Linked DNA regions of Bombyx mori. The protein of the gene in region 1 interacts with the protein of each later gene in a pairwise test. Links are inferred from orthologs where the notes say so. Each region holds a gene or a part of one and is shown in the gene's direction. Other genes may lie near its edges.

Region 1 (4,509 bases):
TGTAATTGATTACTCTCAGACAATTAATCGTTACACAGAACTCGACGCGTACCCTTTACCAAACCTTGAAGACTTAGTTTCGAAAGTGGCAAAGAATACATTTTTCAGCCTAATAGACCTGAAAAACGCGTACCATCAAGTACCTATACTACCCGAAGAAAGAAAATTTACCGCTTTTGAAGCACTGGGAAATTTGTACCAGTTCAGGCGTATTTTTTTTGGAGTAACAAATGGTGTTTCGAGCTTCCAACGAACAATCGATTAGATTATAAGAAAAGAGAAGCTTCAAAATACATATGCGTATCTTGATGATATTGAACTATTTCTGGCCGTACTCTTGAAGAACACGATTATAACTTAGAAAGTTTTATGAATGCCGCAAAGAAATACGGTTTAACACTGAGTATACAAAAATGCAAATTTTATCAAAAGTCAATTAATATTCTAGGCTATAATATTCAAAACCACATAATTAAACCTGACAATGAGCGACTCAAGCCACTGATTAATTTACCTCCACCAAGCGATTTACCGATCTTAAGAAGGACACTCGGCATGTTCGCACATTATTATAAGTGGATTCCAAAATTTTCTGAACGGATCCACTCACTTGCTAATACGACGATTTTTCCACTCACAAGCGAGCAAATTAAATGTTTCGAAGGCTTGAAAAATGATATCGCAAAGTCTTCTATACATGCAATTGATGAAAATATACCTTTTACAGTGGAAACTGACGCTTCCGATCATTCCATTGCAGCAGTACTTACACAAAATTCTAGACCAGTGGCAAAACAACAGTGTCGAATCGTCATCTAGCACCATTGGGTTCAGAAAGGGTAGATCTGTGAATAGATAATGAACACACTATTGATTATCATAACGTCGCAGAACCACTTCCGGAAACAGAAGACCAAAACTTGGAGATTCCTTCATCTAATGAAACGGGACCTGTGGTACATGATAATAGCAGAGAGCTAGAGACAGAATTACCATCATCATCACCGCCGGAACCAACACTTATGATTTACTCCATCTTGCTAAGTCTAATTTAAGTAAGTCATGGCAAGCCTACTGGACAGAGTCCAGTAAGACGAAGGGAGGCTTATATGCTTCAATCCAACCCACCATTCCTACAAAACCATGGTTTTTTAAATTCAAAAAGATTTCCAAACCTGTTATATCTGTGCTCTGTAGAGTTCGTTTAGGTCATTGCTGTTCTCCGGTATTTCTACATAAAATTAGAATACGTGACAATTCGTTGTGTGAATGTGGTTTGGACGACGGCAGTATAGATCACAATTTCCTCTATTGTCGCTTGAACAACTCATTCATATGGGACCAAGCTATTAGCGAACTGAAAATTCAACGGCCGGTAAATGTCCACCACCTCCTCTCACTATTCCCAGACCCCCGTAAATGCTTTTATTAAGTTTATAACTACTAACTCTATAAAATTATAATTATTTGTAGTGCATTATTCTCTGTACATAATCTTTATTATAATATGTAAGTTTATAGTAACATTAATTTTGTGTTAGTCCCAGGCACCATTATTATTTCCAAAATTTGATACTTTTCATAATATAAAGTGTGTATAAATAGCTCGACAATATTCCATGTGTAGCCATAACACGACACTGGCAGAAATTGCTGAAAATATCGGCAGATTGCATTATAAAAAAAAAAAAAATATCTATGGTCAACACTCAACACAAACACATTTATTTCAGTTTCACAACAACGACAAACGTTCACAATCCGCAAAACAGTTTCGATTCCATTGAATTTACAAGTTATTACGTGTAACTAGTTATAATTGGAAGTTTTTCTAATTTGAATACCCTTTATATGAAATTCGTTTGAACGAATTTTTTAAAAAACAAAGTTTTCTTAATGGACAAATAGTATTTTTGAGTTGAGTTTCATTCTTAGTTGTGCTCCAAGAGTTTACGAAGATTTGCGATTATAAATAACTTTTTAAATGGCCGTCTCTTTGTGTGTACTACGTATTGAAATAGACGAAGAACTGTCCGAAATGGCAGACGGTGTTAACAATGGTGAGTGGCAATGATAAATAATTTATCACGTATTGCATAGATATGCTTTTGATTTTTACTTACATCTAAAAAAAAATGTTATTATTTCAAATATTCATATGATCATCAGAGGCCTCTAAGGACCAGAAAAGAAAGGACCGAGGAGCAAGGGAATCCAAAACCATAACAGTTGAAACATATGCTAGTGTTCTTAGTGGACCCAACACTGACCCAGGCATACTACCTACAAGTTCCCGCCGCTCACCTCCAGAGTCCAGCAGTATATCTGAAGACGATAACACTATTAGTTTTTTCTGTGGAAATCCACTAGTTGAAATTACTAAGGGCATATTACACTTGTACAAGGAAAAGTGAGTGATTTGTATGATTTAAAACACAGTAAGACCCTGCTTCATGCAGGGCATACATTATGTCAAGTTGTCATGTTAGAGCATAATATAGAACCCTATTAAATAGGGTTATCGCATCATCTCAAAAATTGGATTAAGGGAAGATTGGTAGAAAATTGTACAGGTACTTTACCATTAAATTTTAAGTTTTTTAATACACTATTATTAGCTTCAGACGTGTGTATGTATGTTTGTAACGGAATCTTTGAACATGATTTTGACCCTCTTCAAAACATCAGATTAACTTGAAATTTGGTGTACTTATTAAAGACCGATGACAATTCAATATTTAAAAAAAAATTGAAAAAATTGAAATTCAACTAAAAAATGAAAAAAAAATACTAGTTTAACAAAACTAACAAAATATGCTTTTATAGAAAATCCAACTAAAAAATATAAAATAAATTTTAATAAATTCCAATTAAAAATAGTGTAAGAAAAAATGATTTTATTGTAAAAAAGTGTGGGGTGCTTTTCAGGATATTATCAAACTAACCCTTCTACTCATATCTGTTCATAAAATATTTATAACTACTTATACCATGCACCCTTATATCAAGAACAGTAAGTAGCATTCACAATGAAATTTTCACTGTTTATACAATTGAACAGGAACAAAAGACTTCAGTATTCCGTTAAAGTCAAATAAATATTTACAGATCAAATTGATAACTAACAGTCACATACCTGTACTGTAACAAGTAAGCTCATGAAGGTGATATTGTGTAAACATGAGGGCCGTTGACTTGTGGAAACCATTTCCAACACAATCACAGTTGATTGTATCTCATGAAACTCATGACATGGTCTAGGATTTCAATAGATTCATAGTAGGTTCGTTTCCACAAAATTTGTTAACAAAAAAATTGTCTCATAATTACGTTTATATAATTTAACAGTGAAATGAAAGAAGCAGAAGAAGCCAAGACACTTTGCCTACTCGCAGTTCCTGGTGCTTTAGGTGCACCCGACCTGCTTGCATTTGCTGCAGCTTGTCAACAGGATATTGCACATGTGAGGGTTCTCAGAGATGGTTCACCTGATCATTACATGGCACTATTAACGTAAGTTTATTTAAGGAGCCAAAAATATTAGTGTTACAGCTGTAATCGAGTATGGTAATACACAAATTTGTTTATGAGTTTTTTGTCATTGTTATACTAACAATAATCATTTCTTTTTTAGATTTCGCACTAGTCAAGCAGCTCGAGAATTCCATGGGGCTTTTGATGGGGTTCCATATAGTAGTTTGGAACCAAATGCACTGTGTCATACAGCCTGGGTGTCAAGGGTTGAATGGGCAAAGGATGGTTCCCCACCACCATCACACACTGAGCTCCCTACTTGTCCTGTTTGTTTGGGTAAATATTCACAGTTTTAATGATTTATATTTTATACAATCTAGAGTTCTCAGTATTATCAGTATTAATGGTGGTAAGAGTGTTGCAAGCCCATAGTGAAGTGTCATGCTTTCTTGAGGGCTGGAAGACTGTTATCATACAATACAATTGCATTCAAGTCTGAGAATTGTTATTTTACACATCACATTAAAATAAATGTTCATTGCCAACAAGTAAGTAAATGAAACCAATATATTGGGTCTGTTTGGCATGAACTGGGCTGACGCTGACCATATCGATTACATGATTGGATCTTCCCGTGTCGCGTCACATGCCGTCAGTTGTGATTGGTTCCAAATCAAAGCAAATTAGCGATAAAAACTCGACAACGTACCTGTCTTTTTAAAAAAGGGTACGAAATGATAACTTTTTGGAAGTCGGTTAAAAATAGAGTTATTATTTTATAATATAATATGAGCGAAATCCTGGGCAAAACTATTATAAAACATTAATACGATTTTAAGTTTCAAATTTAACAATATTAATTTAATTTCAAAAAAGGAGAGTGAGAGATCCATTTAACTTTACCCTAAGTGTACAATGTGCAGACGCCCCTACTCTTCTGGAGAACACGTCATTTCGAATCCTCCCGATCCACTAACGGTGCTTTTAGGTCCGGTCATCGTTCTCGTCGAACCCGTCGCTTGCGACGAAGAGCTC
Region 2 (4,279 bases), on another chromosome or scaffold:
TCTAAGACAAGTTCGTCCTTCGAATTTGCCAAGTAAACGATATGATGATTTTTAAAAGTTGCTACACTGATTTTATAAAGTTGTCGTTTGTCGCAAAACATAAAGATATGGCGTAGTTCAAGCCATCAGCCCATTTCTAGCATGCTAAATGTTATCGTATTTTGAGTATGTGTTTTTCTTAGACTATAACAATCTATTTTAATTGTTTTGCTGACTCTAAAGTCCGTAACATACTACCGCAATGCACCCCAAGGAAGGTGCGCCGCACCATTTGAATCACTTTCGCTTGAGAGTGATTCAAATTTTAAACTTATCAAGGGACCGCGTGAAAAAAAAAACACCTACAGAACATTTATTCATTAATTACAAACGTCATTCCTTGTGACTTCCTCTCTAAAATCACTTAATTATTAAATATTTAACAAATTTACAATAGTGTTTTACTCACTGCGGAATAAAACTATTTTAGTTAAATAGTTCCGAAGAGATTTTGTCGGTAACCTTTTTCCCGAAATATCTAAACAGAATGTCTAAATATGTTTTGATGACATATTTTAAAGTGGTATTTATGATTAGTGTCATGATGAATAGATTATTAAGTGTATAATCTATGGTGTCATGATCAATAGATTCCGACCGAAAAATGGATTTTTCGGATGAGGGCTCCATAATGAATTTAAATACATATAGATAATAGTTTTAGGGCATCGACTTTCTTGAGATCCTATAAAATACGTTTTAATTATTATTTTTGTATGTTTTAAGCATGATAAATTATGAAATTTTATATAATCAATCATATTAAATCGATATCAAAGTCAATAAATAATGTACAACCCAAAACAGACGGCCGAACTGACGTGACAATGACATTTGGCGCGCTAAACATGGCGGATTTTCGGCCTCATTAGACGGAGACGGAGATATTTACGTATATTCATGTTTCATTTTATGTACGCACTGAAATACTGTTATATTGTTTTCCTGCGAGTTAAAGTGCTGAGTAAGAACGAGATAGATATATGTTTATGTATGTGCCTTCAAAATGGGTGCTATTTATATAAGCAATTGTACGTATAGAACAATATGTCGTGTCCCTACTATATAGGTCTATGGGATATATTCACTTCTCTGTCTCTCTATCTCTCTCTTACATTTGACTCATATCAATTAATTATTAATATTAAAAGAAAATCAGTTAAAAATAAAAAAATCAGGTAAAATATTAATCAAATTATATATGGAAATTACCTATGCTGAAGCTTAGTTGGGCATTATGCCGCATAATGCGCTCTTGTGCTGTGATTGGAAAACAGGGGATAAATTCAAATAAGACTTGACCTAAAGGTCTTAGTTACCAGATCGTAAAATCCCTTAAAAAAGTTAAGTGTTTAATCTATGGTGCTGAGGGTTTTGCTTTGTTTACCTATCTATACCTATTTTCTACTTAGTTTAAACCAAAATCCGATATTAAAGTGTTTAAGTATAGTTATTGTATTGTGTTGGATGTATTGAAGTAAAACAACAATGGAAAGCGATTCTTTAAAATCGGACGTTGTAAATACAGTGAATTCAGAAGTGCAGCCTATTAATATTGAAAAAGACCCGAAACCTGTGACCACTGACTCAAGCTTGACTCAAGTGCCTATAGTATCTAATGTTCATGTGCTTGCTGAAACGCCCGTTGCGATTGACACGGCGGGTGCTTTAAAAGAAGTTCCAAAAACATCACCTAAAAAGCCCAAAAAAAGAAAACCCAAAGCAGCTCGCGATACAACTGCACCCCGTCAACCTCTCACAGGTTTAGCTCTTATTTTAGATGTCTTATTTTTACTTAATTCCTTATTAAAATCTTTTATTTACAATTTTAAGACAAACGAATATTCATATTTAAGGTTATGTAAGATTTTTAAATGAGAGAAGAGATCAGTTGCGAGCACAACAGCCAGATTTGGGTTTTGCAGAATTGACCAGACAGTTAGCTAGCGAGTGGAGTAGACTTCCAGCTGAAGAAAAACAACAATACTTAGATGCTGCAGATCAGGATAAAGAAAGGTTAATCATTAATCAAGTACCTAATTTAAATTTCATGAGATGTAAATAATATATATTTGAAATTATTTTAAATACGAATAGTGTATTTTAAATTAACAGATATGTTAAAGAATGTGCGGAATACAAAAGAACAAATGCTTATAAAGAGTTCACAAAACAACAATCTGATCTGCAAGATGGTAGCTTATCAAAGAAGTTACGGCAGGTTCCTCAAGTAGACGCTTCAGTTTCTGGTAAATCCAATATTCTTTTAAAATTTTCTTTTTTCTTTTCTTTTTACGAAGTCGTCGTGGCCTAAAGGTTAAGACGAATGGTGCATTTGTATCGAGTGATGCACCGGTGTTCGAATCCCGCAGGCGGGTACCAATTTTTCTAATGAAATACGTACTTAACAAATGTTCACGATCGACTTCCACGGTGAAGGAATAACATCGTGCAATAAAAATCAAACCCGCAAAATTATAATTTGCGTAATTACTGGTGGTAGAACCTCTTGTGAGTCCGCACGGGTAGGTACCACCGCCCTGCCGATATCTGCCGTGAAGCAGTAATACGTTTCGGTTTGAAGGGTGGGGCAGCCGTTGTGACTATACTGAGACCTTAAAACTATATCTCAAGGTGTGTGGCGCATGTGCGTTGTAGATGTTTATGGGCTCCAGTAACCACTTAACACCAGGTGGGCTGTGAGCTCGTCCACATATATAAGCAATAAAAAAAAAAATCAATAGAGAACCATATAATCCATAAAAAATATTAGGCGCAACAATTTCTCAAAAACAAGACCAAGCATACGTCTGGTATTACGATCTTGCATGAAGAATCTAGCACATTAGTTTGATGGTTAGGACAGCTGTTATACAATACAATTGTAGTAGCATTTAGACATCCATGTTTACGTCTCTAGCCATATAAACCTACATGAGCCGTGAGCTCATTTGCTCTTTTTATAAAGAAAATAGTGCCATTTGTACCTTACATGAGATTAATTCATAGTAACATTAATATTAAATTCAGTTTAAGGGGAGCTCTTTAAGCATTCATACAGATAGGCATTACATGCTTGCAAAACTAGATGTTGTAATACAATGTTAAAAAATGTTGAATATTGAAGTACACTAAAATTTCACTATTACGTAATATATATATAAAATTAATCCAGCAACTTATTTGATGAAAAAAGTGCTTTGACAAAAAACTAACAATACTTACACTTACTCTTATAGGGGGTACCCAACCAGGAGAAAGTACAGTGTATAGTGCTTCTACAACAAACATGTCTTCACGTCAGACTACCCCACCAAGACCAAGACCATGTATTAATCCTACATCTGTAAGTTCTGCAGTTTATATTGTCAGCATAAAAAGCATAAAGAATTGTTGAATACCTACTTAAATTCAAATTGGAAGGTAAACAAAGTTTTGTAAAGTAGTAAATTTATTGTTACAGGGTGAAATGGAAATACCAATCTTCACAGATCAATTTCTGCAACATAACAAACTGAGAGAATCTGAGTTAAGACAATTAAGAAAGGCAAATTCAGATTACGAACAGCAGGTAAATGGAGCATGAATGGTCCAGCAGCTTTCTATGAGTATTTAATAGCATATTATGATGACTGACTGGCACTCACTGGTACCACCATCTTACCTATTTGGTAGGAGCTAGTGGTCATGGACTCTTGTTTGAAAGATAGAACTTCAGCCATATTTACAATTTTCAAGATGGGTGTTGTTATTCACTTCTATGTCTCTCGGCTTCCTATTTGTTGACAGATGGCCTGTCCTACCAAAAAATATGTACACCACAATATTTATTGTTATTTATACTTCAATCTTACCAAGCACTAAAATGGTGCTTATATAGATAATGATTAAAAATTTTATACATATTTTGTACTTACATCAGAATGCAATCTTACATCGTCACGCAGAAGAGGTAAGCGGCGCTACATCGAAACTCAGAGCTGAAACAGCTGCAGCAGCTGAAAGGACTGCTGCTTTGCTTGCTCATAAACGTAGTCTGGTCGCAGCCTTAGTGCAAGGTCTTCAGACATTAGCTTTACCAGGTAGTCAATGTGTAATTATTCAACACTAATTTTATTGAGTAAATTGTCATTTTATGTTTTATTTATCAAAACCATGAGTTTCAAATTGACATTGTGACCATGTATTGTCATTGAAACTAATGCTTTGACTGAAACACTAGCTTTAAGCAGTGTATAAG

What was found.
Region 2: the proteins of BRCA1-associated protein (region 1) and high mobility group protein 20A interact in a two-hybrid assay, tested with the Homo sapiens proteins (2 studies listed by BioGRID and IntAct). The link is inferred for Bombyx mori from reciprocal best matches to the Homo sapiens genes BRAP and HMG20A.

Annotation. Positions count from the first base shown.
Region 1 is NC_085122.1:14,176,331-14,180,839, forward strand, and holds the start of BRCA1-associated protein, read left to right. Parts: upstream 1-1,677; 5' UTR 1,678-1,984; coding exon 1,985-2,060; intron 2,061-2,169; coding exon 2,170-2,410; intron 2,411-3,348; coding exon 3,349-3,513; intron 3,514-3,634; coding exon 3,635-3,810; intron 3,811-4,509. UniProt on the Homo sapiens protein: Negatively regulates MAP kinase activation by limiting the formation of Raf/MEK complexes probably by inactivation of the KSR1 scaffold protein.
Region 2 is NC_085114.1:10,481,818-10,486,096, reverse strand, and holds the start of high mobility group protein 20A, read left to right. Parts: upstream 1-1,378; 5' UTR 1,379-1,527; coding exon 1,528-1,801; intron 1,802-1,895; coding exon 1,896-2,055; intron 2,056-2,154; coding exon 2,155-2,288; intron 2,289-3,278; coding exon 3,279-3,385; intron 3,386-3,502; coding exon 3,503-3,610; intron 3,611-3,961; coding exon 3,962-4,121; intron 4,122-4,279. UniProt on the Homo sapiens protein: Plays a role in neuronal differentiation as chromatin-associated protein. Acts as inhibitor of HMG20B. Overcomes the repressive effects of the neuronal silencer REST and induces the activation of neuronal-specific genes.